7 linked regions of the Ovis aries genome follow. The protein of the gene in region 6 interacts with the protein of the main gene of each other region in a pairwise test. Links are inferred from orthologs where the notes say so. Each region holds a gene or a part of one and is shown on either strand. Other genes may lie near its edges.

What was found.
Region 1: the proteins of STAT3 (region 6) and RPA2 interact in a two-hybrid assay, tested with the Homo sapiens proteins (2 studies listed by BioGRID and IntAct, with this or other methods). The link is inferred for Ovis aries from reciprocal best matches to the Homo sapiens genes STAT3 and RPA2.
Region 2: the proteins of STAT3 (region 6) and NFKBIZ interact in a two-hybrid assay, tested with the Homo sapiens proteins (2 studies listed by BioGRID and IntAct). The link is inferred for Ovis aries from reciprocal best matches to the Homo sapiens genes STAT3 and NFKBIZ.
Region 3: the proteins of STAT3 (region 6) and GADD45GIP1 interact in binary tests that used the Homo sapiens proteins (3 or more experiments, as listed by UniProt). The link is inferred for Ovis aries from reciprocal best matches to the Homo sapiens genes STAT3 and GADD45GIP1.
Region 4: the proteins of STAT3 (region 6) and BLK interact in binary tests that used the Homo sapiens proteins (3 or more experiments, as listed by UniProt). The link is inferred for Ovis aries from reciprocal best matches to the Homo sapiens genes STAT3 and BLK.
Region 5: the proteins of STAT3 (region 6) and BMX interact in binary tests that used the Homo sapiens proteins (3 or more experiments, as listed by UniProt). The link is inferred for Ovis aries from reciprocal best matches to the Homo sapiens genes STAT3 and BMX.
Region 7: the proteins of STAT3 (region 6) and SRI interact in binary tests that used the Homo sapiens proteins (3 or more experiments, as listed by UniProt). The link is inferred for Ovis aries from reciprocal best matches to the Homo sapiens genes STAT3 and SRI.

The regions. Positions count from the first base shown.
Region 1 is NC_056055.1:239,191,895-239,195,877, reverse strand, and holds part of RPA2 (replication protein A 32 kDa subunit), read right to left. Parts: intron 1,971-3,983; coding exon 1,896-1,970; intron 1,394-1,895; coding exon 1,277-1,393; intron 1-1,276. UniProt on the Homo sapiens protein: As part of the heterotrimeric replication protein A complex (RPA/RP-A), binds and stabilizes single-stranded DNA intermediates that form during DNA replication or upon DNA stress.
Region 2 is NC_056054.1:167,095,424-167,100,185, reverse strand, and holds the start of NFKBIZ (NF-kappa-B inhibitor zeta), read right to left. Parts: upstream 2,903-4,762; coding exon 2,614-2,902; intron 454-2,613; coding exon 314-453; intron 1-313. UniProt on the Homo sapiens protein: Involved in regulation of NF-kappa-B transcription factor complexes. Inhibits NF-kappa-B activity without affecting its nuclear translocation upon stimulation.
Region 3 is NC_056058.1:10,910,417-10,915,117, reverse strand, and holds GADD45GIP1 (large ribosomal subunit protein mL64), read right to left. Parts: upstream 3,232-4,701; 5' UTR 3,216-3,231; coding exon 2,866-3,215; intron 1,162-2,865; coding exon 843-1,161; 3' UTR 804-842; downstream 1-803. UniProt on the Homo sapiens protein: Acts as a negative regulator of G1 to S cell cycle phase progression by inhibiting cyclin-dependent kinases. Inhibitory effects are additive with GADD45 proteins but also occur in the absence of GADD45 proteins.
Region 4 is NC_056055.1:105,347,752-105,351,734, reverse strand, and holds part of BLK (tyrosine-protein kinase Blk), read right to left. Parts: intron 3,531-3,983; coding exon 3,454-3,530; intron 1,061-3,453; coding exon 910-1,060; intron 1-909. UniProt on the Homo sapiens protein: Non-receptor tyrosine kinase involved in B-lymphocyte development, differentiation and signaling. B-cell receptor (BCR) signaling requires a tight regulation of several protein tyrosine kinases and phosphatases, and associated coreceptors.
Region 5 is NC_056080.1:13,696,372-13,700,354, reverse strand, and holds part of BMX (cytoplasmic tyrosine-protein kinase BMX), read right to left. Parts: intron 2,916-3,983; coding exon 2,740-2,915; intron 1,250-2,739; coding exon 1,178-1,249; intron 488-1,177; coding exon 434-487; intron 1-433. UniProt on the Homo sapiens protein: Non-receptor tyrosine kinase that plays central but diverse modulatory roles in various signaling processes involved in the regulation of actin reorganization, cell migration, cell proliferation and survival, cell adhesion, and apoptosis.
Region 6 is NC_056064.1:42,177,968-42,181,950, forward strand, and holds part of STAT3 (signal transducer and activator of transcription 3), read right to left. Parts: intron 2,799-3,983; coding exon 2,648-2,798; intron 1,066-2,647; coding exon 921-1,065; intron 333-920; coding exon 234-332; intron 1-233. UniProt on the Homo sapiens protein: Signal transducer and transcription activator that mediates cellular responses to interleukins, KITLG/SCF, LEP and other growth factors. Once activated, recruits coactivators, such as NCOA1 or MED1, to the promoter region of the target gene.
Region 7 is NC_056057.1:73,943,292-73,948,003, forward strand, and holds the start of SRI (sorcin), read right to left. Parts: upstream 3,077-4,712; 5' UTR 3,046-3,076; coding exon 2,995-3,045; intron 2,085-2,994; coding exon 2,001-2,084; intron 1-2,000. UniProt on the Homo sapiens protein: Calcium-binding protein that modulates excitation-contraction coupling in the heart. Contributes to calcium homeostasis in the heart sarcoplasmic reticulum. Modulates the activity of RYR2 calcium channels.

The sequences.
Region 1 (3,983 bases), on a different chromosome or scaffold from region 6:
TTCCTGACCTGCATACAGGTTTCTCAGGAGGCAAGTCAGGTGGTCTGGTATTCCCATCTCTTTCAGAATTTTCCAGTTTACCGTGATCCAAATAGTCAAAGGCTTTGGCATAGTCAATAAAGCAGAAATAGATGTTTTTCTGGAACTCTCTTGCTTTTTCCATGATCCAGAGGATCTTGGCAATTTGATCTCTGGTTCCTCTGCCTTTTCTAAAACCAGCTTGAACATCTGGAAGTTCATGGTTCACGTATTGCTGAAACCTAGCTTGGAGAATTTTGAGCATTACTTTACTAGTGTGTGAGATGAGTGCAACTGTGCAGTAGTTTGAGCATTCTTTTGCATTGCCTTTCTTTGGGATTGGAATGAAAACTGACCTTTTCCAGTCCTGTGGCCACTGCTGAGTTTTCCAGATTTGCTGGCATATTGAGTGCAGCACTTTCACAGCATCATCTTTTAGGATTTGAAATAGCTCAACTGGAATTCCATCACCTCCACTAGAGTATCTATAACAATATTTATTTTCTTGTTTATGATCCATCTCTCTCAAGAATGTAAGTTTGAGTGCAGACACTTTATCCATCTTGTTCACTGCTGTATTCCTAGGACCCTGAATAATGATTTGCATATGCTATGCTCAATAAATTGAATGAATTTCTCTTTGTATCCTCAGTGCTTAGCAAAGTGCTTGGCAAAGAACAGGATGCAAAAGCAAATCAGTTTTCCAGTCCCTCCTACTGTAACCAGGCCTCCACCTTGCTACCAGAATCATCTAAGGGCATTCTAATACTCAGATCAACAAATCTTTTGTGTGGTCCTAGATGGACTTGTCAAACTAAATTCATACTACAGAAAAAGATGTTGAGAAACTTCAACATGAAACAAGAAGTATAATTTCAGGACAAAATAATGGTGAATAAATTTTCTCATTTAGCCAGTAGCTTGAAAGGGAAGCAGCAAAATGCTGTCTTAGTTGGGGTTTTTCTCTGAATATGGACTGAAAATCCTGAAGTAAAGAGCTCAGCCTATAATGATGAGTCTACACCTAAAGTCTGTCTGGGCCTCAGCCATTCAAGACAGTGGACAGGTATTATGAGAGGAATATGAGTGTTTCATCTGGAATAAAGTAACATGACAAAGCTCACGGAGAAAATTTTTTGAGGACTGAATGATGCCTGTCTTCTGGCTCGATCTGCAAAATGTTACGGAAATCAAAGCTTGAGCACAGAAGCAGTTCCTCCAGGGAAGAGAAAAAAACGAAGAGAGTGAAATTGCTCACCTGGCTGTTCGACTTGCTCAGCATCATGTGTGCATTGACTACTTCCAGAATATGTGTGGTGAACTCATTCATATCCTCCAGGGGCATGATCTTAAAGGCTACCAGGCTTTTCTTGTTCTATTAAAATAAATAGAAAAACGTGAACAAAGGGTAAGTACATTCAAGTCAATTTCAGGCCAAAACATCATGGCTCTTTTCTTGGTTACAGTATTTTATTAAATGAGGAAAATGTGCTATATATTGAAAAATTTCAACTCAAAGTTAATTCAAATATAGTCAATGAAATATAGTCAAAAAAACAAAACTAGCTCAGAGACGTTCAATGATTTTCCCAAGGTTAAACAGTCTAGTCTCTAAATCCAGTGTTTGCCCTTCTACATCTAATGAATGCCATAGCTGGCAACTGTAGGCTGAGATCTTGTTCTTTCTCTACTTCCTGTTTTAAACTGAAAAAACTCATCATTTCCTTCTGAAGAAGAAAATAATGAAATAACTTCAATATAATTCCCATTAAACATAGAGACTTAGTTAAGTCTTAAGTATCCCAAATGTAGGCATGACTCCAGAAACTGCTTCATGCAAATACATTTTAACTGTTGTTGTTTTTTTCTGACTTTACCTGGAAAGATCTCAGATGACCAGCCACTTTCACATATGTTTCTGGAGGGACCACAGTGTTTTCACCACTGGCATCCTAACAGAAAAAATACAAACACACACTTAGGTTTTAGTGATGTTGGTGAAAGCCTCTTTAAAATTTCTAATTTATGTAGAGAAAGTTACAAAGTAAGAGCTAAAGGATCCTAATGTAGTACTAACTAGTTTTCCCTGCCTTTTAGAATTTAATATTTTTAAAAGTAAAATCAGAAATTAGGATAATATCTCTAAAAGTAAGTTCCAGTTCCAAGCTCTACATCATGCATATCAAAAAAAAAGAAACAACAAACCCAGCAAACAATTATGGCACTTTCATGCAGTGCTCTTAGGCACACAACTTTCTGGTAGACATACTTCTCAGTACAGCAACTCTACTTTTAGAAATTTAAGAAAAGTACTGAGAACATGTAATCAAGATTTAGCTTTAAGAGTAGTCATCTCAGCAATTCTGAATACTACTAAAACATTTAAAGTGAAGTGAAGTTGCTCAGTCGTGTCCGACTCTTAGCGACCCCATGGACTGCAGCCTTCCAGGCTCCTCTGTCCATGGGATTTTCCAGGCAAGAGGACTGGAATGGGATGCCAAAGCAACCTAAATATCCAACAAAAAATATACATTCATATAATGGGATACTTTACACTGCTACAAAGGATAAATGGAGAATTCTATTTATTGTCTGTGAATATCAGTTGTGACTCATGGAAAAAAGCTTATTTCCCATGAGGGGAAACATACATGTCAAAATATTAACAAGTTAACTTGGATAATTATAAATGATTTTAATATTTCTTTGTGGGTTTTCTAGACTATGTACCTATTATTTATAAGAAAAACATATAAACTGACTCAAAATTCTTTTCTGTTTATAGGATGTGTGTGTGTCCTAAATTGCTTCAACTGTGTCCAATTCCTTGTGACCCTACGGACTATGGCCCACCAGGCTTGTCTGTCCACGGGATCCTCCAGGCAAGTATAATGCAGTGGGCTGCCATGCCCTCCTGAGGGGATCTTCCCCACCCAGGGATCAAGCCCACATCTCTTATGTCTCCTGGTAGGGGAGTTCTCTACTACTAGCGCCAGCTGGGAAGCCCACTTAGAGAATGTTGCTGCTGCTGCTGCTGCTAAGTCGCTTCACTCGTGTCCGACTCTGTGTGACCCCATAGACAGCGGCCCACCAGGCTCCCCCGTCCCTGGGATTCTCTAGGCAAGAACACTGGAGTGAGTTGCCATTTCCTTTCCAATGCATAAAAGTGAAAAGTGAAAGTGAAGTTGCCCAGTTGTGTCCGACTCTTAGCGACCCCATGGACTGAGCCCACCAGGCTCCTCCGTCCATGGGATTTTCCAGGCAAGAGTACTGGAGCGGGGTGCCATTGCCTTCTCCGACTTAGAGAATACATGAGTATAAAAAGCTAGAATAGAAAATCTGGATGTTTAAAAATAAAAAGCATTCCAATTCCCATCACCTGGAGGTTATCAACTATTTGCATTTCATTCTATTACTTTACACAGCTGAATCTATACCACAGATAAAACTCTGTATTCCCCAAAAGAACATTTTAAAACCACTTGGAAAAAGTAAAGCTGGATCTATACTTCACCAAAATTTATAAAAAGGCTTAGTCATATACAGAAATATGAAAAGAAAACACAGAAATTATAGAAGGAAACACAATTAAAAAACAGTAATTTGAAACAAGGAAAAGCTTTTCAAAGTCAGTAGACAATCTAGAGAAATAATATGATAAGAGATTACTACTTTTCAGGTTCTTACAAACAAAAGTAAACACTCCTAGGGAATCAAAGCACTTAGACAACTAAAAAAATCTTCCCATAAATTAACATTTTGTTGTTGTTCAGACGTGTCCGACTGTTGGTGACACCACGGACTGCAGCATACCAGGACTCCCTATCCTTCACTATCTCTCAGTTTGCTCAAACTAATGTCCATTGAGTTGGTGATGCCATCCAATCATCTTGTCCTCTGTTGTCTCTTTCTCCTCCTGCCTCAATCTTTCCCAGCATCGGAGTCTTTTCTAATGAGTCGGCTCT
Region 2 (4,762 bases), on a different chromosome or scaffold from region 6:
TGCATTTTCACCTCATTCAACTTGGGTCAAGGTAAAATTAATAAGGCAACTTGAGCTTTTCCTTTCTAATCAAAATGTTCCATTGAGCTGAACCACATTAATTTCCTTGCCCCCAACTTGCCTTCGTTTACTCATTCATTAAATTTCTCTTGCACACTGCCAAGCGCCCAGCACTGGGCCCAGCGACAAGAATCTAGCAGACAGCAGGACAAATATGCTCTCTGTCCTTTGTACTCTGTGGTCTATGAGAGTAATAACCCTAACAGACTAACCTCCCTGCCACCCAACCCAAAACAAATCAGTTAGGTGCCACCTTAAAATCATCGACAGCTTGTCCGGAAGCCTTCTGTTTATGACTTCGGATGTGCAATAGGAGTTCTTTCACCGAGTTCTTCACACGAACACCTTGAAAGGGTCCTCTCTGCTGCCTTACAGCCCCCATATGGGGCTCAACTGTTCAAAAACAAAAAACAAAAACATATCCCAAGTGAGTGTCTTCAAAGACATGAATATTAGTAACTTCGAAAGCACAGCTGTCCAACGTGATAAAGTTCCCAACTGGCCACAAAGCCTCTTCAACTCACCCCGGCCGATGACCTTGCACGTCAGTCCCCAGCCCTACTTAAGGATTCTACCTTGCCTGATACCTTTCCCCACCAGGCACCCTAAGGAATTAAAGCTCATAAAAAGTCATTTCAGGGAGCCCCAGAAACAAGGGATAAACCCAAATTAGTTCTCTCTCAGCCCTAAATACGGCAAGAGAGAGGACTGCAGATTTTGCCATCCTGACTCTCATAAATCTATAATTATTCTAGACTCTTTAAAAACCTGGGAGAGCAATTGCTAAATGATGAATTTTTAGCTTTCCAAACCAAAGGGTTTCTGTCCACACAGAAATTGTAAAGTCTTATCAATTCCACTCACCGAAGAAGGCACAAAACAATGTACCAAAGCCTAATAATTAATAATGTCTTAGTTTATTATTTCCCTCAGTTGAGCTATGCCGAGAAAGCTGCTTTAAATTCACTAAGCTTAAACACATTTCCACACACACACACAGGATTTCCCCTCACCGACTGTTTACGGAATTGCTCATATAGGCCTTCTAAGTAAAAAGGAAATAATCTCATTTCATATTTAAGCTTTAAAATACACTTTAAAACATAGTACATGAGTACAGCATTCCACTCTGACCACTAACATGTCACAACCTCTTGGGATGAGTTGAACACAGAGTAAACACACACAGTCAGGAAATGAATAATTCAGCAATTCCATTGAGAGTAGGAAAAAATAAGATAGGACAAAAACCAAGGCATAATTTAAACATATATATATATGTACTTATAATCAAACATATGAGAGAAACAACTCAATGATAGGGCAAATTAAACAGCTAGTTTTACATTTAAGTCATTTAGAAATATCTTGCCAGAATCTAACACAGCATTTCTCTGGAATGACAGCAGTTAATAATTCAACGTCACAAGGAGAAAAATTCAGTTTCAGAAATCCCCTATGGTAAACCAAAGAACTAGTAAAATAGTTTCAGCCAGATGAAGGCCAAATGAGGAGGGGGGGGGAAATGGTTTAGATAAACACACACAATTTTGGCATTTACTGCACACTCAAGATACAGAAAGCGTTTACAGAGTGGAACTGTTTGAATCACTTTTTTAAATGAAAATGACAAATCACACTTTAAAACGCAACCAAAACAGGAATGGCTAGCAGTGGGGAACACCTGGAAGAACGTTCTTTAAAATCATGCTGATTACATTTTCCAAAATGTGAGATTATCTAGACGTTCTTTGGTTTACCCACAGTGGCATCCTGTTTTCCCCCAAATTATGCAACTCCGTTCATTAAGAAAAAAAACTAACAATTCACAGCGGAAGACCGGAAACATTACGCCTTTCTCTGCCACATACAGCCCAACCACTCTAAAGCACAGAAAACAAAAACAAGACCGCAGAAATTCGGGGCAGACTTCGGAAAATCAAACTCAAGGTATACGTTGGTTTTCAGTACAGCTTCATCTCACATCTTGATAATATCCGTTTCTTTTCTTTATAAAGTCCTTCTACGTAAAAATTTTCACAAATACGTACTTAGGAAGAAATAATGACCTTCAACCTTGTACTCAAACCCTTATCGCCCGCTGCAGCCTTTCACTAAAACAGCCACGAGAAAAAGGTACACCTACATCGGCTCCAAAACCTCGCCATAGTGTGTGGATTATAGTTAATAAAGGCGTTTTTTAAAAGAAAACGAAGAGAAAAGCCAACGTGGTCCACTTCTCCCCGCCCGCCCCCCCCTCCCCAATCAGAGCCGTGTGTTTCCAGCTAACAGGCCAGCCGATGGCACCCGGATTTCACAGACGGTCAAAGGGCATCGAGTGATACTAAACGCCCAGCACAGGGCAAGGCATCCAGTCGTGGCCTAATATGACGACCAGTGTGATTATGTACCGCCGCTAAGGCAGGCGCAGAATCCTCCTAAAACCTGGCCGAGGTACTTCACATCTGGGCAGCCCAGACCACCCGCCTCCCCGAGCGTGGGCCCACGGGAGTCCGGGGGTCCCGGGGTCGCCCCGCTGGGGCCGCTGGGTACCTTGCAGCCGCTCAGCACGGGCGCCGCCTCTCGGCCGGGACTCGACCGCCCCGCAGGAGGACACGGACGAGGCGGAGGAGAAGTCGGAGGAGTCAGAGCCGGGCGAGCCTGGCGCCGAGGGCCCAGACGCCGAGCAGCCCCCGTCGCAGGCGCCGGGGGCGGCGGCAGGCGGCGACGCGCCGTAGAAGTAGGCCAGGTTGAGCGGGCTGGTCATGAGGCCGCAGTCGCCGGCCGCGTCCAGCAGCCCCTCTCCGCCGCGGCTATCGTCCAGCAGCTTGTCCACGATCATGCTCCCGGGCTCGGCGCTCGGGGACTCCAGACAGCTGTGCCCCCGGCTCACTGCGCGCGGCTGCCTCCCGGTTGTGGCTATGGCACCAGCTCTGATGGGCTCAGGGTATCGGCGGGAGGACGGCGCGGGCACGGGCGCGGACCCGGAGTGCCCGACTATTTAACCGGCGTTCGAGACCAGGGGCGGAGAGAAGGGGCCACCGCCTCGCCGGCCTCCCCCGCGCCCTGCTGGGCCATTGACGGCGTCGGGACCGCCTCCCGGCCCCTCCTCCGGATGCGCCCAGTTTCCAGTAAAATGTACAGGATGAAGCAATGTGTGCCCTCCGCCCTCGCCCCGCCCAGACCCGCCGGTTGTTTTCCTGCCCTTCACCTAGAAACCCAGCCGGAGGGCGGCCCCCCGGCTTTCGGCCCTCGTCCCCTGCCCTGGGATCCCCGCCCCGGCCGCCCGCCGAAAGATGCCCGAACCGGCTCTGCTTCGGCGCACCCCCAGCCCGGCCTCGGCGCCGGGGAGGAGGGCGCGCTGCGTGGGCATGGCCCGCAAAGTGGGGCCAAGAGGCAGGAGGCGGCGGTGGGAACTGGTCGGCCCGGTTCCGCGGAGTAGGAAGTGCTGGAAGATCCGCGCCACGCAGCCCTCCCGCCGCCCAGCGCCCGACTCCTCGCCAACCCCAACCCCGGCGTCTCCGGGAGGCTCATACGGGCCAGTCTTTGTTCAACTTAGTAAGCGTTTGCCAACATGCCTTTTGGCCGGGTCTCAAATCCCAAACTGAAAGAGATGTTGAAGCCATTTTTTGGTCCTCAAATTATAATCTGGGCAACATTTTTGGTGCCAACTGGGAATAAAAAGCATTGGCCTACACCCCAGAATCCTTCAATATTGAGACAAAGACGTCTTAGCAGAGTGATAAATATACATGCATGTATGTGTTTGTACGTTTATGTCTGTATTTAGGTTTATGCTGCGTAAGTGTTCCCTGTGTCGGATAAATACAGGAACTTTGCTCTTTGCTGTCTTAAAATACTTCAGTGGAGTTAACACAGCTTTTTTGTGTGCTGTGCTTAGTCACTCAGTCGTGGCTGACTCTTTGGGACTCTATGGACTGCAGCCCACCATGCTCCTCTGTCCATGGGGATTCCCCAGACAAGAATGCTGGAGTGGGTAGCCGTTCCCTTCTCTAGTGGCTCTTCCCAACCCAGCGATTGAACCCAGGTCTCCCTCATCACAGGTGGATTCTTTACCAACGGAGCCACCCAGGAAGCCCAAGAATACTGGAGTGGGCAACCTATTCCTCCTCCAGGGGAATCTACCCAACCCAGGAACTGAACCCAGGTCTCCCGCATTGCAGGCAGATTCTGTACCGACTGAGCCACCAGGGAAGCCCAATTTTTTTTTTTTAATTGAAGTCCCAATTACTTGCTAAAACCGTGGCTAGGCCTTAGTGGGAACAAAAGATGAGTGATTGTGTCTGTCCTTTCAAGCACATTATAATCCTAAAAGAATGATAAGGTAAGTACACACTATATTAAAAGAAACCGATTATGATTAAATATCATGAGGGATACAAAGTTCAGTTCAGTGAGTATCCTAAAAAGCAAGACAATATCTAGTGAAGGGAAAAGTGAGGTAATCAGGAAAATCTTTGCAAAGAAGGTGACATCTGAGATAGACCCCCAAAAATGAGTGAGGTTTCAACTCACAGCATTTCTTGGAAGAGGGAACAACAGGAGCAAAGAATTAAGAAAATAAATCAGATGAAAAAAAGAGTCCCTTCTACGGTAGTCAAGGGAAGATCATAACATTAAATGTAAAAGGTAACTTGGTGCCTTTGGGTGGTGCTCCTCCAGTGACAGACTGGCACACCTG
Region 3 (4,701 bases), on a different chromosome or scaffold from region 6:
ACCTCCCCCGCCCTCTTCCAGGGTGAGGGGAAGCTGGAGCTCCAAACTTTTGATCCTCCATAGGAGTGTCTCACATCTTTCCATCTGGGGTGAACGCTCAAGAGGCCCAAGGACTCCTCTGTGGTCTGGCCTAGGCTTCCATCCTGCATCCCTTTGCTGCGGGGGGGAGGTCTGGTTTGTCCTGCTTGGGGAACGGGAAACATCAGAGTCGCTCTGGAGTTTGAGGCAAGCCCCCCACCCCAGAAGAGAACTGTTGTCTCTGATAAAGGTTTTGAAGTGAATAAAGTTTTAAAAGCCAGTCCTGTGGTTCATCCCTACTGGGGCTTCCCACTCCAGCTGGTCTGGGTCTAGGGGCTAGTTGGGCACAGGAGATGAGGGAATGCCATGAAAGGGGCAGAGGGGTCTGTCTGCCTCTGCAGATTGTGGCTCCTGGTGTACCCCGCCCCCACCACCAAGCTGTGTTATTCCCAGGCAGTGGGCCCCAGCCTTGGAAGGGCTGCTGCTCTTTCCACCCCCCCCATCATCACCACAGTCTGTTTTGGCTACACTTCCCCCCTGGTAATTGGCTAATTACTGGAGATTAATGTTGGTAAACAGAAGCCTTCTTCTCCTCTGCCATCTGCTCCTCCATTATTTCCCCATTGTTCCCCACCTTTTTTCCCCCTGAAGCCCCAGAGTTGGTCAGCATGGTCTTGAGTCCCCTGAGTGAGCAGAGCCAGGGAAGGGTGGGGGATTCCCTGGCTCCAGGTGTTGGAGAAGGAACCCATGTGCCCAGGGAGGGGTGTGATAAGAGGACATAGCTCTTCAGGGGTGGGGCAAGTTTTATTGGGAAAGAACCCAGCTCAGGAGTTGGGTGTTTCAGAGTCTGCTGGATCCTGGGCCGCAGCAGCGGCCATCGCAGCAGCTCGTGCCTCCTTCTTCTTTCTTTGTTTCTCCTCCTTGAGGCGCTTGCGATGCTGCTTCTCCAAGTCCTGCAGCAGCTCCTGGAAGCGGGCACTCCTCGGGTCCACGTGGTATCCCAGGCGCTCCTGGGCCTCCGCCTGCAGCCGGGCCCTCCGCTCCTTGTCTGCTTGTGCCTTCTCCCTGCGTGCCTGCTGCTGCCGCCGCCAGTTCTCAATCATCTGTGGCATCTTGGCCATGCACTCTTCAATGAGCTGCTCCCTGCCGGTGCAGGAGGGTGGTTGGTGAGGGCAGCCCCACCCAGCCAGAGCAGTACCCATCCACCCACCTCCCACCCCCAAGCCTCTGCCCACAGCCTGCCTCTTCCAGCTCCCCTATATCTCGAGATGAAAGATTGAGAAGGCTTATGGTGGTCATTAAAACTGTCAAGAAAAGTCCTTGAGAAGTGAAGCAAGAGGCAGGAGACAGGAACTAGTGTGAAAGTGACAGTGTTAGTCACTCAGTTGTGTCTGACTCTTTGAGACTCCATGGACTAGCTGCCAGGCTCCTCTATCCATGGAATTCTCCAGGCAAGAATACTGGAGTGAGTAGCTGTCTCCTGCATTGCAGATTCTTTACCATCTGAACTGCCAGGGAAATAAATATGTATTTAACCTTGAGTAAGCCCCAGTCACTCTAGGAGCAGACCCCAAGTCAACCCAGCATTTCCCTGAGCTGTCTCCTGAGCCATCCAAGGCCACGTGTTATTCCCATAGCACATTGCTTCATCCTACAGACATCAATGAGTACCCACTCTATGCCAGGCCCACTTCTTGATACAGGAGTGGAGGCAAGAAATGAATCGGACCTTTCCCTCCAATGGGTGGTAGGTATGAGTCACTGTTCCATTTTAAGGATTAGAAACATGAAACTGAAAGCCCCATGGTAGGTACGGTCAGCCAGCTGGGATAACGGGGTTTACTTGACATAGGTTCACTTCCCAGCTCTGTTCGTTCACTGGGCGATTGGACAAGTGACTTCACCCTCCCTGGCCTGAGTTTCCTATCTCTCAAATAAGGGTGATTCCCTCTTCTTCTTAGAGCTGCTGTGAGGACAAGGACAGTAAACACCAGGAACACACTCGCCTGCCTTCGCTGCCCCCTCTCTTCAGTAATTGGCACAATCAATATCTTCGCTCTTGCTTCCATTCTTACCTCTAAATCCTTCAGACCTGCCTCCCAAGTCCGATCTGTACCCTTGATCCCATGCTCCATCACCTCTCACACCTCCCCAGCCACACTAATGTCCAGGCTGTTTCATAAAGCATATACCGACCTCAGGGCCTCTGCACCGGCTGTTCCCTTTACCAAGAACACTCTAAGATCTTTCTATGGCTACCGCCGATCATTCATCTCTCTCTTAAGTTGCTCAGTCATGTCCAACTCTTTGTGACCCCACAGACTATCCAGTCCATGGAATTCTCCAGGCCAGAATATTGGAGTGGGTAGCCTTTTCATTCTCCAGGGTATCTTCCCAACCCAGGGATCGAACCTAGGTCTCCTGCATTGCAGGTGGATTCTTTACCAGCTGAGCCACAAGGGAAGCCCAACAGGTCTCTGCTTAAACATTTTAAATGTCAAGTTCTCAGAGAAGGCTGGGGCCTACCAAGGCGAAGTCGCCCTCAGGCCTGCAGGCTCCACCCAATTTTATCTTCCTAATGACTCTTGGTCACCATCTGAAATTCATTTTGTTCCCCACTATGCCCTCAGCACCTGGGACATGGCCTTGTGCATAGTAGGCGCTAGGTAAAGATTTGTTGACCGATGACTAAATGAACTTAGCCAGAAGTCTTTTCACATCCAGGTGAGCGTGCACGTAAATACCGCATGCAAAACCGGCGATAAACCGCCCGATGGAGTAAGCACTGTTGATGCACAATTCACTGTCGGCCCGCAGTCCCGCTCCCGCCCGACCGCACGCACGCACCTGGCTTGTCGCTTCTGCTCTTCCGCCAGCTGCTGCACCCGCAGCGATTCCTGCATGACCGCCAGGCTCGGGTACCATTCTCGCTCCTCAGCCTCCAGCTCGAGCAGCTGCTCCCGCGACGGCCACAGACAACTGGGGTCAACACCGGAGGCGGCGCCATGCCGCGCGAACTGCTTAGCTGCGTAGCGCGGCCCCAGCTGCCAGCGCGGGGTCAGTGGGTTATCCGGGTCGGGCCACCAGGGGTCCCGTGAGCGGCGCGGAGGCGGCGGCGCTCGGTAGCCGCGGGAGCCTGGGCCCAGGGTCGTCACCCATCCGAGGAGGTTGCGAGTCTGCCGCATGGGCGCAGCCATCTTGGCCGTGAGAGGTCCTCGCGAGCAGGCCGGGCTGGCCAAGGCGCTGCCTGCGCTTGAGGTCCGCTGGGGGCCGGGAGGAGGCAAGGAGCTTCCTGGCTGCCTCAGTTCCGCGCAGGGCGAAGAGGGGAGTAGTCTTAGTTTTTACACATCTTCAAGTATAATTATAAAATTTCCTGTAGCAGTTAATTTATTAAAATCTCATTTAAATTTTTTCTTAGTTTTTTGTTCATATTTAAGATTTAATTTTATGTTAAAATAGCATTTATTTTAAATATTAACATTTAAGTGTTTTAAATTTAAACGATCATTTAAATATTTATTTAAAACACTGAAATATTTTCGTTTTAAGTTCAATCTACGTATTATTTTATATTTTAACTTTTAAATCTATGCAACATATTTAATTTTTTTTAAATCCAGGCAGTAATGTTGGAGTGGATTGCCATTTCCTCCTCCAGGGGATCTTCCTGACCCAGGGATCGAACCAGTGTCTTCTATGTCTCATGCATTACAGGAAGATTCTTTACCCTCTGAACCAAGGGGAAAGCAACCCCTGGCTCTTTTCTAGGTCCATGGGCTTCCATAGTTGCTGCACGCTGGCTCAGTACTTGTGGCCCAGGGACTCAGTTGCCCTTCAGCGTGTGGAATCTTCGGGGCCAGGGAACAAACCGTGTCCCGTGTTGGCAGACAATTTCTTACAGCACCACCGCGGAAGTCCTAAATATTTAAATTTTATATAAACACTTATTTAAACATTGTTCATAACATTAACTATTTATATGATGCTTTTTCATTTGATTTTAATATATTTATTTAAATTTTAATTTTGAATAATTACTTAAAACTTTCCTTAACATTTATTTAAATGTTTACATTTTGTGGGCCTTCCCTGGTGGCTCAGATGGTAAACAATCTGCCTGCAATGCAGAAGACCTGGGTTTGATCCCTGGGTGGGGAAGATACCTTAGAGAGGAGAATGGCTACCCATTCTAGTATTATTCTTGCCTGGAGAATTCCATGGACGGAGGAGCCTGGTGGGCTACAGTCTATGGGGTTGCAAAGAGTTGGACATGACTGAGGGACTAACACTAACATTTCTGTCTAAAACACTTGAATTTGAATGTAAATATTATTTACTGTATTTATATAGAAATTTTACTTTACATCATATTGTAAATAGTTACTTTATGCCTTCTAAGTTTTTGTATGTTAAAATGTTTAAAACGTTCAATCCTGGTGTGGAAACTAAATACTATTTTTGAAAAAGGATTTCCACCTTAAAAAGGAAGGAAATTCTGACCCATGCTACAGCATGGATGAAATTGAAAGCCATTATAGTGAGCGAAATAAGGCCGTCAGAAAAGGACATGTTATATGACTTCACTTACATGAGGTCCCTAAAGGAGTCAGATTCATAGAGTCAGCAAGTAGGAGCGTGCCTGGGAGGGGCAGGGGACTGGGGAATGGGAGTTATTGCTCAACA
Region 4 (3,983 bases), on a different chromosome or scaffold from region 6:
TAGGGTCACAGTGAGGAAAGAGTTCAAATCCTACAGCCCTGGATGACGTCCACAGCAGCTGCACGGCCCATCCCTTGATCACCCGCACCTTCTCTAGCTTTCTCGCCTGAAGTTCCCTCAATGAATGGGACAGATAATCCATTTCCCGTATCAACTGATTAATATGTTCACTAGTATCACTCGCTAACTTGCTTAATGAAATGTATTTTGAGTGCCTCAAATCCTCTTGTAAAGAGGATTTTGCCTAGTTTTTACAAAGTAAAGCAAAGCACCTGTAGTGACCCCAATTCAGGTATTAAGTTTTTGCTGCTCATACGTTGGGCTTTCCAGGTGGCATTAGTGGTAAAGAACCCGCCTGCCAATGCAGGAGATGTAAGAGATACATGTTCCATCCCTGGGTCGGGAAGATCCCCTGGAGGAGGAAATGGCAACCCATTCCAGTATTCTTGCCTGGAGAATCCCATGGACAGAGGAGCCTGGTGGGCTACAAGTCCATAGGGTCTAAAAGAGTTGGACATGACTGAAGGGACTGAGCAGGCAGGCGTTTAGGGCAGTGTTTTCTAAAGTGTGCTCTGTGAACCCCTGGTTCTATGAGAGGTTCACAGAACCTATGTGGAAAAAGTTTCTGGGGTTCCAATGACTTCGGGAGACGCAACATGAAACGTGTGTGCACCGTTCCTAAGCTGCGTGCCCTCTCAGTGCCTTTATCATGCTGCTACGGGCTGGGAATCTCCAAGGGAGGGCTCATGGAAGGGGTGGTATCTCTAAACCTACTCTCACCTAGTCATTCCTCCTGAGGCACCTGTGGTCTCCAGAGCACATCAGGGAAATGCTGAACCAGTTGGGAGCAAGGTCAGACTTGTACGATAAGAAGTCCAAGGGGGACTGGGGAGTTGGGGTGCTGCTCACCCTCCTGGGCGGTGTATTCGTTGTCGATGATCCGGGCCAAGCCAAAGTCCCCGATTTTGCAGCACAAGGCCTCAGACACCAGGATGTTGGCCGCTCTCAGGTCCCGGTGGATTGAATTCATCTGCTCGATGTACGCCATTCCTTCTGCAATCTGAGGGAGGGGCCCCACAGTGAAGGCCAGCCCCTCTCAGGGCGAGAAAGGACTTTAGGCCACCCTCTGCATCAGAGCCAGACATCAGAGACAGGCGGCGCGAAGGCTCCAAGGTGTGACAGGACGGGGGGAGCTGCCATGTGGCTGCAAAGTGGGGCACACGGGCTGCGTCTGGAGGGGAGCTTTGCACTTCATGCTATAAAGCGAGATGAGGAGCACCCGGAAGGCAGAGTGCGCACGCGCGTGTGTGCCCGTACACAGAGCAAGGCGCTAGCGTGATCACAGTGTGTTTTAGAAGCTGTGCACCTGGAAGGTTCTGATTTTCTGCTTTCCTAACCTTCAGATTCTTGGCCACATCTACGTAGAAACTTATTTATTTGTAGAGTACATCATGAGAAACACTGGGCTGGATGAAGCACAAGCTGGAATCAAGATTGCGGGGAGAAATATCAATAACCTCAGATAGGCAGATGACACCACCCTTTATAGCAGAAAGCAAAGAACTAAAGAGCCTCTTGATGAAAGTGAAAGAGGAGAGTGAAAAAGTTGGCTTAAAGCTCAACATTCAGAAAACTAAGATCATGGCATCTGGTCCCATCACTTCATGGGAAATAGATGGGGAAACAGTGGAAACAGTGTCAGACTTTATTTTTTTGAGCTCCAAATCACTACAGATGGTGACCGTAGCCATGAAATTAAAAGACGCTTACTCCTTGGAAGAAAAGCTATGACCCACCTAGATAGCATATTAAAAAGCAGAGACATTATTTTGCCAACAAAGGTCCGTCTAGTCAAAGCTATGGTTTTTCCAGTGGTCATGTATGGATGTGAGAGTTGGACTTTAAAGAAAGCTGAGCGCCGAAGAATGGATGCTTTTGAGCTGGGTGTTGGCAAAGACTCTTGAGAGTCCCTTGGACTGCAAGGAGATTCAACCAGTCCATCCTAAAGGATATCAGTCCTGAATATTCATTGGAAGGACTGATGCTGAAGCTGAAACTCCAATACTTTGGCCACCTGATGGGAAGAACTAACTCATTGGGAAAGACCCTGATGCTGGGAAAGATTGGAGGCAGGAGGAGAAGGGGACAACAGAGGATGAGATGGTTGGGTGGCATCACCGACTTGATGGACATGAGTCTGAGTAAACTCCATGAGTTGGTGACGAACAAGGAAGCTTGGCGTGCTGCAGTCCATGGGGTCACAAAGAGTCGGACACGACTGAGCTACTGAACTGAACTGAACTTAGAAACTCAGGTGACTTTTCATATCCTTTGCTTCTTGGCAACCCAAGATTTCCCAAAGGCTTGACAGAGATCATTGACAACGAGTGAGAAAAGGAAAAGAAAGGGAAAAAAGGGAGTGAGCAGGCTTATCATGAGCTGTGGTTTGAAACCAGCTACCAGGCTTAGTTTTCCGAGACCACCTCACCATCCTGTTCAGCCCAGCCTGTGTGCACCTCAGTGGAAAAAAGGCGGTGGAAAAAAGGCACGGTGACCTCAGTTCCTGCCCTGATACTCACAGCAGATAACGACTTGGAGGGGGTGGGGGTGGCGTGGGAGAGGGGAGGGTGCCTCCCTCCAGCAGGATGTGTGTGTGTGTTTCTGAGTCTCGCGGGCTGACCACAGACCGGAGCTTTTCTTCCGAGAGTTCCAGTTTCAACAGACACACACCCAGAGCCACCGGATGTGCTTTGCTGCCAGTTAGAATCCTCAGCTAAAATCCCCCGGGAGGAACGTTTCCCTCCTCTTCATTTTGCTCTTCACTTCATGATGTCTGAGTCTACAGAAGGCATTAATGGGCACCATCTGAGGATGGAGGAGGTCACCACAAAGTGCTGACCCGCCATAGGACGTGGAATTCGTGGGGACTTTCTGGGTTCCCCACACCATCCTTTCTTCCTCTGGTTCTCACCAACAGAACCTTCATGGCTGCCCAGGAGAAGGACTACATTTCCCAAGCTCCCTTGCAGCTGGGTACAGGCAGGTGACAGGTGGCCAGGGGGCTGGGAGAGCAAGTGTAGGGAGTGACTTCCAGCACTTGGCTCTAAAGGGAGTGGGTGTGGTTTGCCCCCTCCATCCCGCTTCTTCCTCCTGGCTGAGGAGGACAAGATGCTAAAGCGTGAGCAGGCTCCCTGGGTGGGAAGATGATCTGTTAAGACCCAGTGGGTGGAAGAAACCTGGGTCCCTGTGACTCTGAGGGGAAGCTCCACCGCCCACCCCAGACTGCCCGCCTCTGGTGCTTACACACTGAAGCTATGATGGCTTGGGTTTTCTCTCTCTCACAGCCCAGCCTAAATCTAATGGACACAGCCTCCAAAGAGTTGATCTCGCTGAGCTGCAAGGGCAGAGGACAGGGCCCAGGGGCCTGGATCCCTGCACTTGGAGCTCACGAACCTGGGCCGACATGTCAATCAGCCTTGAGAGGGACAATCGGCTACCTTCATCCGTCTTCAGGAAATCCAGCAGGCAGCCTGGGGAAAGAGAAATTGCAGCTGATCTTCTGCAGGGTGACCCGACCCTGGCCGGGCCGACTTCTCAGGGTGTGGGCTGCTGCCCACCTGGGCGGGAAGTGGGTGGCACTCTTTCAGGTCTCTTGTGCCCCCATGGCTGCAGGTGCCACTGCTCTACAGAAACTCCCACCTCAGCCTTCACAGCTCCCAAGAGGCGCTGGTCTGCTGCCAGCTGCTTGGAGGACGTGAGGTCTCAGTCAGGTTCAAGGTCACACAGTCAAGGAACCGGGTCAGAAACTGCTCGTGCCCTGCATGACATTACAAAGCATCTTCCGCCCACTTCACCCTTTGTTGGCAGACATTCTGCCTCCGAGGATGCAGGAAATCACCAGCATTACGGAGACTCATCTCCTGGAGCTGGTACAGGGGACAGAAGCTGCTCCTCTCTGGTATCTAAGAGCGGGGGACTGCTCA
Region 5 (3,983 bases), on a different chromosome or scaffold from region 6:
TATTCATTGGAAGGACTGATGCTGAAGCTGACGCTCCAGTACTTTGGCCACCTGATGTGAAGAGCCAACTCACTGGAAAAGACCCTGATGCTGGGAAAAATTTGAAGGCAAAAGCAAAAGGGGATGGCAGAGGATAAGATGGTTGGAAGGCATCACTGACTCAATGGAGATGAGTTTGAGCAAACTCCAGGAGATAGTGAAGGACAGGGGAGCCTGGCATGCTGCAGTCCATGGGGTCGCAAAGAGTAGGACACGACTTAGCAACTGAACAACATTTTCATTAGTAACAGCCCAGGTTATTGTCACCCATCCTCCAGTTTCATGGCCCAGAACCTCACAGGAGTTTCTCCATGTAAATACAGCCTTTTCAGAAGAATAGATAGAAATATCTATGTCTAGTTTTAAAGGAACACAGAGGACTTTCAAAACTCACTCATAATCATCAAGGTTTTCCTCTTCTTCAGATGAACTTGACTCAGGGGAGCCCCTTAAGAAGAGAGGAAACGTGGTTAATACACACACACACGTGCACACACACACACACACGCACACACACACACAACCAAGCAATACTCCAAGTGCCTCACAGTGCCATGTCAAATCCCACCCTGCTTTTATCCACATAAATAAAATCTGCACTGTTAGATTTCCCTTTTTTGCACTTGGGAAGGGGTCAGCAAAGTGAAGAGAAGGTTGCTCACAAGTTGAGCTCATGCCCAGTTTCATGAGACACTGGCTCCTTGATACAGGAGGATCCCAGGAATGTAGATTTCTTTGACTCGGTCAGAAGAGCAGACTCGTGAAATAGATGAAATGCTTCAGGGACAGCTGTGATATGAAGTTAGAGGAAGTCTTGTGAGTGTATAGAGGTATTCTCAAAGAAGAGTTCCTTAACACCACCTTGTTTTCCCTCCGGCTCACATGCCTGAGCCAAGTAGGTTTGTGTTCATGCTGACACCTGTGTATATCATGTATGATGGGTAGGAAATATCAGTGTGACCTCAGAAGTTATCCATTCAGACCACTGTCAGGGTTCAAAGAAGCAAACTCCGTGTATTTGTTTGTTTTATAGTCACCTTAAAATTAAAGGCTAGTTGCAAAATTTTTACACCTGTGATTAGTTTTCCTGAAGATGAAAGAAATCCTGGCTGCAACAGAATATCTGAAGTTGATTTACCATGACATCTTTGAGGTGTTGTGATTTACAACATTTCTTTCCCTTTGGTTACTGCATGCCAAATCTTCACTGCTACAAAAAAGAGAGATAAAGTTTATAAATTTATATTTATTTACAAATGTTAAATGGCAAAAGTAATTGTTTGGATATGTTTTAGCTTTATTTAATATTGTGACCCATATATGTCACTTGGTTTGGAAATTTAAGCTAATGAGTCATTTTCACATTTTCATCCTTGCAGTGACCCCACTAAAAACTAGTCATTTGATAGGATGCCTAAACAAAAGAGAGTTTTTAATAATGGCTCATAATAACCCCAAACAGTAGAAAACTTGGATTAGTAAATCATCCTGGCTGGGTTTGTTCTGATTTTCTTGTATGTGTGCAGGCATTCTGTCATTAATATATTTTAATATAAGTTATTTTCCTCTTTGCCGTTATGCTTGCAATGGAAAGTCCTGAAAATACTGAACCTTTTAACTCCATGTGTACACACACAGATCTGCAGGGTTCTCTTCATCCTCTCCACCCATCATTTTATCTCTTTTACTTGGTGTGTGAAACAGCCCATGAGGAAGTGCCAACTTCTCCAAGTCCAAAGGTTGTTTTAGTTGGAAGGTAGGACCTATTTCCTGTTTGCCTTCACAACCCAGGCTCTTTTTCAAGACCACACTTCAGAGTGACAAGCTTCCTTAGCAAGGAAGTGCTCCTCTGGCTGCAGTTCAAGGAAAGCCTGGAAAGCCCCAGCTTCCCAAAGAGCCTTGCTCACTAGCAAAGCTTTTTCCCTTCAGCTCTTCATAAGAAAGCTCTTATTTAAAAATACCAAGCAATTTAGCCTTTTTGTGGTTTTTAAGAACATGTGGAGAGTGTCCATCAGTTGTGCATCACTTAGGTTTGTCCACATGATGGAATGCAATACAGACATTCACGATAATCAGGTGGCTTACACAACAGTGGGAAGGTAATGAACACTGCTGAACTCTACACTGCAACATGACGAAGGTGGTAAATTTTGTGCTGTTTTACCACAGCTGAAACATTAAAAAATTAAAAATGTAGTATATCCTCATGTCTTAAAATAGGAAAAATGTCCCAGATGTGAAGTGAAAAGTGCAAGTGGCAAAGAAGACTATAGGTGAAGGTGTACATCCTGAGAAGGCAGCCACAGCCTCGTTTGAATACTTGTCATTGGCCAGTGATGCCAAAGCACGTTGCAAAAACCTACCCACTCTAAGCTGTCTCAGATAAAGGATATATTTTAAAGATTTGGTGTTCTGGACTGTGGGGTTGTTTGGAGGAAGAAGGAAAGAAAGGAAAGGGAATAAAGTGCTCAAGTATTGTACGCATCATTAGATTCAGTCATCTAAATGGCAAGTCTGTGGTGCTGAGTCCCAGTGGGGCCAGCACTACTCTAGGCTTCTGGCTCAGGCACTGAGGATTTTCCGAGAGGGCAGCCCTGTCTCAGCCATGGCCTGTGCAGGCCGTGCTGAGGCTCAGCTCTGAGGCAGTGGGGTAATGTCTGCTTGACATGCTGTGCAGCTGGACTGAAAGCTGGGACTTACCTTTTCAGTTTTCTTACTTGCCACCAGTCAGGAAAGTCTTCTTTTGGAATATACTTCATGTTGATGTTTGACTGGGAGCCATAGTTTTTCTTGGAATCACTGTCATACTGGGCTAGAGTGGTACTTGAAGATGGTTCATCTACTTTGAGAATAGGAACTGCTCTAGGAATCTTCAGCTTTGGAGAACAAGAGATTCAAGTACATCACAGTGAGGCACAGATTCATGAGCTGGGAACTGACAATCAAAGTATATCAGCTTTTAAAAAAAATAGGAAAGAAAGGGGTAGTAACTAGTAGTCATAAGACATGGAGCAGCTGGAACTCTCAAACTTTCTTGGTTGGAGTATGAAGTGCATGACCACATTGGAAAGTTGTTTGCACATATCCTAGGACCCATATACGCCCAATAGTGAAACCAAAAGACATATAAAAGGATGTTCCATAGCAGAATTATTTCAATTAGGTAAAAACTGGAAATGACCTTATTGTGGCTGTAGTTGGCTAAATCATGCCCTTTCCCCAAAGATGTTTATGTCCCAGTCCCTGCAACCTGTGAGTATGTCACCTTACATAGTAAAAGATACTTTGCAGATATGACTAAGTTAAGGATCTTGAAATGAGGTGATTATCCTGTATTACTGGGATGAGCCAGATATAATCACAAGGGCACAAGTGAGATGCACGAAGGTCAGAGATTAGGGGGCAGGTATAAAGATGGAAACAAAGATCAGAGAGGAAAGCAGATGCTACCAATCTGGCCCTAAAGATGGAAAAGGGGGCCAGGAGCCAGGGAATGTAGGCAGCCCCCAGAAACTAGGAAAAATAAGTAAATAGATTTTCCGTAAAGCCTCCTAAAGGAGTACAGCTTTGTAGACCTGATTCTAGACTTCTGACTTAAAAACTATGAGAGAAGAACTTTCTGTTGCTTTAAGCAACTGAATTTGTGGTAATTTGTTACAGCAGCAATAAGAAACTCATACAGCATTATATTCACACAGTGGAATTCTGTACAGCAATTGAGGATAAACTGCAACCACATACTAAACTATGAGTGAATCTCATGAGAAAATAGGCAGTAAACAACTATATACTTTATAATTCCATCTATGTAAAGATCAAAGCTAGGCAAATATTCTATGATATTATATGTCAGCCTAGTGATTGCTTTTGGTGGGATGTAGTGACCCAAAGGGAAGATAAGGGTGGTCCTGGGGTTCTGAGATGTTCTGTTTCTTAATCTAAGT
Region 6 (3,983 bases):
AGAGGAGCCAGTGACCTTTCAGTTCTTAAAACTTTCTTCCTTGTAATTTTCTGTAATGTTTTATTAAATAAAGTCTTCCTTAAAAAGGAGAATGCATTTTATATGCTGAGAAAGTTATTTTTACTGTACACAACCCCCAAACACCCACGATTATGGAGGTCAAAAGGCAAGGACATCTTCGTACACGTGAAGGAAGCACATATTAACAGCGCTTGCTTCTTCCCAGGCCTCACCTGGGCTGCAGTGGCTGCAGTTTGGAGGAGGCGGGACTCTTCCCACAGGCAACGGGCCACAATTCGGGCAATCTCCATTGGCTTCTCAAGGTATCTGCTCTGTAAGTGGGGAGACAAAGAGAATGAAAATCAGCAGCAGCTCAGGAGATGTGGACCGAACTTTGCTAACTTAAAGCTAACTTCCTCATAAACTAGGGAAAGTGTTACATTTACTACATGGAACCACAGAGCATCAGAGCCTGGCTACAGTCAGTAGGAGAAGTGACGGAGAAGAAAGGCAATCACGATGAGCAGTACTGTAGTGAGAGTAGGCTTGGTTGTCTGTCTTTGGACAGACAGACTTTGGACAGTGAGTTATCCTGGTCTTACAGGGGGGTGACTTTGTCAAGGAGTATCCAACTACGGTGTCCAAGCCTTTGACACTGAAAAGTAAGAGCCATTTTCCTAGTCATCTGAACTTGTTACAATCATGTCATTCGCATACTAACATAATATAATTAACATAAAAATCACATTATTATTTCAATGAACCAACCAAGTAAACTTCAAGCAATAATACTGAAAGGGCTGGTAACTTCTCCTTGGATTTAAAGTACAAGATAGGTTATTAATTAACCAAGTGAGAAACAAACATTTTCAGGAAAGAAAGCTAAAACCCTTCTCTGCAGGTTCAGTTTCTCCTCACACCTGAAGGAACTGCTTGATTCTTCGCAAATTGTGCTGATAGAGAACATTGGACTCTTGCAGGAAGCGGCTATACTGTTGGTCAATTTCTCCCAAGAGATTATGAAACACCAAAGTCGCATGTGATTCTTTGCTGGCCGCATATGCCCTAGAAAAAGGAAGATAAAGACAAAGAATGATTCTGAAACCTACACACATACACACGCTCACACGCACAGGCATGCACTCGAAATCACCATCAAGGAGGGAAAAACAAGGCAAACCTGAAGCTTTAACCCACTCACCATTTTAGATACATCTTACTCAGCAATCATAAAAGTCACTGATTTTAAAATTACCAGCAATTATTTTGGATACTATTAAGCGACTGTCATAGTTCTATATTTATCAAATTTTGAATGGTCAGATATGCTGTTTTCCTTTAAATTCTCAGTCAACTCTATGGTCAGATTTTCAGTAGCAAATAACCAATCCCAGGTTAGGATGGCCTATTTCCAACATCTCTGAATTACCTCCCTGGCCCCTCATCAAATTCTGGAAAAGCTAGGTCATGGGCCTGAATTAAACCAAAATTAAAAGGTGGATCTGAATACATTAAAGTGAAGGAAAGAGTTGCTGGGATTCTGTACCATTATCTCCTCTATGACCAAGTGTTAGTCTTTCAGTTGTGTCCAACTCTTGCGATCCCACGGACTGTAGCCTGCCAGGCTCCTCTGTCCATGGAATTCTCCAGGCGAGAATACTAAAGTGGGTTGCCATTTCCCTCTCCAGGTGATCTTCCTGACCCAGGGATATGAACCCGGGTCTCCTGCATTGCAGGCGATTTCTTTACCATCTAAGCCACCAGGGAACCCCTATCTCCTCTATGACTGAGTCTGTTTCTCTAACTCTGTATCTCTTTTCTTTAATGAAAGAGGAATCAGAAGTACAAACCCAAACCTTTTTTTACCCATGACAAAATTCTCATTCAGATTAAAAAGAAATTATCTGTAGCATGTCCCTGAAGCATCAGAACATGCAGAGAATCTCATCAAGCAAATGAAATTAAAATGGGCTTCCCTGGTGGCTCAGATGGTAGAGAATCTGCCTGGAACGCGGGAGGCTTGAGTTCAACCCCTGGGTCGGGAAGATCCCCTGGAGAAGGGAATGGCAACCCACTCCAGTATTCTTGCCTGGAGAATTCCATGGACAGAGGAGCCTGGCAGGCTACAGCCCATGTGGTCACAAAGTCAGACACGACTGAACCAGTAACAGGTTTTACTTTCAATTTCAAATCTTGCGAAGAACTGACTCATTTGAAAAGACCCTGATGCTGGGAAAGATTGAAGGCAGGAGGAGAAGGGGACAACAGAGGATGAGATGGTTGGATGGCATCACCGACTCAGTAGACATGAGTTTGAGTAAACTCCGGGAGTTGGTGATGGACAGGGAGGCCTGGGGTGGTATAGTCCATGGGGTCACAAAGAGTTGGACATGACTGAGCAACTGAACTGAACCATCAAGCAGGATGTTTCAGCGTGCCAAAAGACAGCTTTCCAGATGCCTTTCTAATGTAAAAATGCTTTTCAGGACTAAAATGACCTCTTTACTTTCCAATCTCTTTTGTCCCGTCACCTGCAACTATAAGCTTTAAGATGAAATAGTTAGCAAAGAGTTAAGTTAGAGCAGATCATGTCTCTTGACTCAAACTAAAGCCTAGCAATTTGGGGAGTTTCTTGAGAAGGACTTACCAATCTTGACTCTCGATCCAAGGGGCCAGAAACTGCCGCAGCTCCATGGGGAAGCTGTCACTGTACAGCTGATGGAGCTGCTCCAAGTACCGTGTGTCCAGCTGCTGGAGCTGATTCCATTGGGCCATTCTGCTGGAATCAGGGGTCACAACTGCAAACCAAAGGTTCATATGGTCACTACCAGCCCCAGTAAGAGGAAATGATCTATCCAACACAGGGATCAGGTCTGTGATTAGGGATAAAAGGTGTGTGGAAAGGCTCTCACTTGCTCCACCCACTTTAGAACAATACATATGGATTCAAATCTCTATCCCTGGGGCCACATCACAGCTTCTTTCTTCTAAACCAAGATGACAGTGTGGGCATGGTGCCAAGTTCTAGAATCCATTATCTCCTAGAGGTATGTGAAATTGAGAAACTACTTCACTTCCAGATTTCACTTCTTCTTATTACACAGACATTATAATTCCCAGCTCTCTGGGCTACTGAAATAATATTTCTAGAGCATTCAGCTCAGTGCTCAGCACACAATAGATGCTCAAAAGATATGAGTTCCTTTCTTTCCAGTTGGCATTCCTTTTAGGTGGACTGGGAGATATGAATACCGTAAACCTGAACTAAGACCAAAACGTGGGATGTGGGTGTTCAGGGAGGACAAAGAGCTAATTCCAAGGCTACAGATTTAGAAACTACCACACTGTTAATCGGTTATACTCCAATATAAAATAAAAAGTTAAAAAGGACTACAGATTTAAACCTACAGCAAGGATCTGCCTGGGGTTCTCCCATTCAAAAAAGAGTAATTATGTTTTTAAAATTTCTCAGTCTGGGGTGAGAAAGAAGAGAAGCTAAAGAAAAGGCATTCGAGCTGTCCCCAGGTTCATGAATACCCCAGAGAAATGTTCAGGAAGGAGAATGCAAGCCAGCTAACCACCTTAAATCCTCTTTCTGAATATCTTGGGTCATTGAAATAGCAATAGAGACCAAGTAATCTTAAGAACTGGGCTTCCCTGGTGGCTCAGACGGTAAAGAATCAGCCTGCAATGCAGGAGATCTGGGTTTGACCCCTGGGTTGGGAAGATTCCCTGGAGAAGGGAATGGCTACTCCAGTATTCTTGCCTGGAGAATTCCAAGGACAGAGGAGCCTGGTGGGCTACAGTCCATGGGGTTGTAAAGAGTTGGACACGACTGAGCGACTAACATAACAACAACCTTAAGAAGCTGTAAAGGAGAACTACAAGCAGTAGCCAAAGACTAAGGTATGTATAGATCAGAGTATATTGACATGGTTCTCTGGGACAGTGAGAACATTTACTGAGAGATAGAATATATACAA
Region 7 (4,712 bases), on a different chromosome or scaffold from region 6:
ATACAGAAAATGAATATTATCACACGAGACTTTTTTTAAATGGACGCCTTTCAAAAGTAGGCATTCTTTTTCTTCACTCTACTTCCCCAAACAACAAGTTACAGAAAGAAAGGAAACTGTTCCAGGTTCTCCCACAAATGGATAATTAAGGACATATACCAAAAATACCTTTCTTAGTACCTAGGCAAAGTGGGTATTCAATTTCAGGCTTTATTTGCAACGGTCATTACACAAGAATTACCAAGTCTGAAAGCTGCTTACACCTATGCTTTGGTATTACCAATATCTTTTTGTCATTTCCTATAAATTCCTGAATTAGATGGCATAACTTCTAAAGCATACGGTTCCTCTTCTTAATAAAACAGTAAGATTAATTCAGTTTCTTCCACTGAGACATATTTTTAAACATATAAATACAACTAGCTCCTACCCTTAACTACTCTTACTCTGAACTAGGAAACTGCAAAAGTAAGCAATTTAAAATACAATTATTTATGTATTTGATCAGAAGTTCTATTACTTGTCCTCGCTTTTTTTTTTTTTTTTTCTGTTGAGGGGGTGGAGGGCTGGGTACACAGATGACATCAGTAAATGAAAAGTTTGGTTCCCACAAAAAGCAGCCTCTGTGATCTCCTTTGCTTAGAATATGATGAATGTTTTTTTCAGATCACAATTATAGCTGGTTATACAATTATACAAGTTCTCCATGCCTATTCACTGGCTGACCTAGGTCAGAACTAGAAACACGTTAGATTTTAAAATAAAATGCCCAAATCCTCAAGTTCATGACTATTATACAATCTAGATGACAGGCACGATCAATAATGGGAAAGACGATGGACATGCTGCCGCAGACCAGGGCTGCTGAAAGCTAAGCAGGTGGGTGCCTTTCATGGCTCCTGGTCCTGGCGGTCTAAGAGTGCAGAGACTTGAGCTTTGCCGTGTCTTGTGGTTTCAAAGATACTGATCACTAACAGGTGAAGCAGATACTTAGGGGAAGCTCTTTCAGTTTTAGACTCAATTTTCCATTCAGTTTCTCAAACTGTACTTTTTCCAGTGCTGTTCTAGAAGGTGGTCACACGTTTTTATCCCATAACAGTCTACAGGCATTTTCACATCAAGACTGTGCTATTTCTAGCTTTTGATTAAAAGAAAGCTAGGTTGAATTCATAAGCACAAATGTCCTCTTTGAACATGTTGGATTATAACGGCAGTATGGTATATACAGTGACCTGGTACCTGAGGAAAAAGGCCTCCTACAAGATGAACTACCACCTGTCACACAACTAGAAGAAGTGAAAGGTTTTGGGGTGTTGACCTTAATTCATTCTCTGTCTGGGTCAACAGACCACAACACCTAACAAGGACATGGAAGGGCTGACCTAGTAATAGCATCCGCAGCTAAGAAAAACTAAACTGGCCACAAGATTAACTTCCTGATAGCAAGAAGAAAGTACCTTCCTTATTTTGAAGCTAGTGGGTTTTAACCTGGAGTACCCATTTCCTAAAGGGGTAATTAACAGTCAAACTCAATGCAAAGAAAATGTCCCTCAGAATCTGGCTACAGAATTACTGGTACTACATGATTCTAATTGTACAAAGAAAGGTTTAAAGTTCAGTCGACCTGGAATTTCTTCTCTGGAAATTCGCTGTCTGGATCCTGACAATTGACCGTTTTAAAGACATCTTTCTACCTTACATATCTTCAAAGCATATTTACACTAGTTTATTGTGTTCAATCTGACCCTAATTCAATCACAAGTTTAGTTCTGAATTGAACATAAGCAAGAGTAACACGTTGTCCCAGTTTGTTCTGAATATTCAAAAATAAATAACTGCCCATGAACTTCCTTCTCTCTCTCTCTCTCTCTCTCTCTTTTCTGGAGCAGAAGCAAAGGAATTCTTTTCCAGAGGAACAGTCGTTTTTCCGTGGGACTGTAACAAAGGTTAATACAAATGTACAAACTGAAATTTCTTTAATGTTAAAGGGAAGAGCTAACCTGTCCAGCTACAGCAGCAAAGTAACCATACAGCGGATCCTGAGTTTGCCCGGGAAACGCAGGCCCTCCGGGAGCCCCTCCGTACTGTAAGACAGGGAACAAATGAATAAATCCGATGACCAAGTTTTATCCTTTCACCACTGAGTGCCTTGTGCAAAGCCAGGTTCGCTGTCAGTCGTTTGCTCCCCCCCTCCCACCTCCCTTAACTCTATAGGCGCAATCACTCCTTCCCTTTGTCCCATTCTCATCCCAGTTATAATTTAAAAACCCGCAGCTAGGATCAAAATGAGTTGTCTTGACAATGACATCAGTATAAATGAAGTAACCTCTGCAAATCTCCATTAACCTGCAGTTTACTGAGACGAATGCAACCTGGCCATGCAACTTACCAGCAGGGCTCAGAATTGTCTTGCATAATTTTTCCTAGCGTTTAAGGTATTTTTAAAGCGTTCTGAGACAGGTGTAGCCTCGGGAGGGTGAGGTGTGTCACGGATAGGGAATATTCTCTTCAGGAAACAGTTCCCAAAAGGATGCCCGTCCCAGACTGAGGGCCAGGCTGCCTTCCTGCCGGAAGTCTCCGACTCTAGCGGACTTTCCCTGACTTTCCCCGTTTCTCTCAATTTCGGAGAGAGAGAGAAAGAAGTGGATCGCAGGACCATTCTAGAGTAAAATGGCTGTTGCTCTTAGGGAAGGCGGAGCGGAAGGCAACACCCCTTTTGCACGATTTCACGCCGCGGATCCGGGAGGCACAGGGTGGGCTTCTTGGGTTAAACTACGCGCGTCCCGGCCCCAAGCAGCAACCCGGGGGGAAGAAGGGACAGGAGGAAGGAGGTCGCCGGAGACCGAGGCCGGCCGGCGGGGGCGCTGGGCGAGGCGGCGGGCAGGGCGGGGGCGCCCGGGAACCTCCCCGGCCGAGACGACCCTTGTGGCTTCTCGGAGCCCCGGGCGTCCAGGGATCGCGCCCCGGCCACGAGCCCGCGCGGGCAGCACTCACCCCGCCTGCGTAGTAGCCGCCGCCGGCGCCAGGATGCCCGGGATACGCCATGCTGCACTCTGCGCCGCCGCCCAGCGCCTCCCGCCTCCCCGCCTGCCCGCGGGGACCGCCCAGGGCCGCACCACCCTGGCCCGCGGGGTACGCGCCTGGGGCCGCCGCCCGCGCCAGGCTCCGCTTCCGGCCTCCGCCCCTTCCTGCGCTCCGCCCGGTCTTTGGTGTTTTCTCTTCTCAGGCCCTGAAGACCCCGAGGTCTGGTAAATGACTTCACGCTCGGGATGCAGTTCACACCTGGGATTCTCCTCCCTTCAAAACGAATGGCACGTTCCAACACCGACCCATTTCGCCGGGTGTTCTTTTTCTCTTCCTGCTCGAGCATCCTCTGCTACGTTTTGTATTTTAAACAACTTTATTGGACAGGCCTACGGGTCTGGAAGCAAAGTGTGGTACTGGGGGAAGGGGCCAAATGCCTTCGGGCAGCCCTGAGATGCTCTCAGGGAAAGGAGACTTCGAAAAACCAAGCTGCGAAAGCGCCTTTGGACATCAGCAGTGAATTTCAGGATCTGAGCGCATTTGGAGTTGACCGTTTCACTTAACAATAACGGCGTGTTTCCTTCCTAGGCGACATTGTCATCTCTAGTTTAAGCTGGATGTGACTCGGATATGGCCTGAAGAGGACAGCGGGCACTTAGTAGGCAGGGCAGCCTCGGCCGGATTGTTCTTAGAAGTTGAGTTGTTCCAGTTATCTGGATGATTCAGGCAAAACAATCCTGTCTCCAAAATCACTCAGCTACTTTTTATGCAAGAACAGTTTAGTGCAGGCAAAGAGTGTGTTGGTAAAAACACACTTGTCAGGAAGGTAAGGGAGCTGGATCTTGGAGTTTCACTCAGGTGATTCAGGAAACAGTTTTCTTTACTTCACAGCTTTTTCACCCAGTTTAACAGTTTGAAGCAATTCAGACGTGAGATTTTCTGGTTTGGTTTTGTTTCCTGCAGTTTCTATCACGCAGAGTTCTTTGAATTTCAACAATTTCTTATTGTTTTAAGAAATGTAACAATAAGCAAGATTCACAGTATTTGCTGTGGAGGTTGCACAGAAAAATTGAATGAGTCACCAACATTTAACAAATACTGGAGCACCTGCTGTGTGTGGGACAGGGCTTGCTCATGTGGTGGACTGGGTTCTCACTGGGGTCTTTGTTTTCCTCTCATGTATAAACTTCCCTCTCAAGTTCTTTTGGATCCCCCAAACCTCAAAATAAAAGTCCTGAATTGAGAGAAAAATTCTAGTATTTCCTGTTGTCTTATATCGAATCAACTATACATTACTTGCTTTGTGTTTGATTCAGGAAGTTGATTCCTGTTTTCAAGTACCACAGTCATCATCAAGGTAGATTAGAGATATGAGTCCTTTGGCCCATATGGAGGGTTTTATTTTTTCCCTAGTATTTTTATTGTAGTAAAAACACAACCTGATATCTTCCTGCCCAAGTGTACAGTGTACACTATTGTTAAAAGCATCTACAGTGCCTCATAGCAGATCTCCAAAACTTTTCCTCTCACATGACTGAAAATCTCTACCAGTAAACAGCTCTCCATTTCCTCCTCAGCGGCCCTGGCAACCACCATTCTACTTTCTGTTTCTATGAGTTTGACTATTTTAAATGCTTCATATAAGTAGAATCATACAGTATTTATCTTCTTGTAATTAACTTAGCATC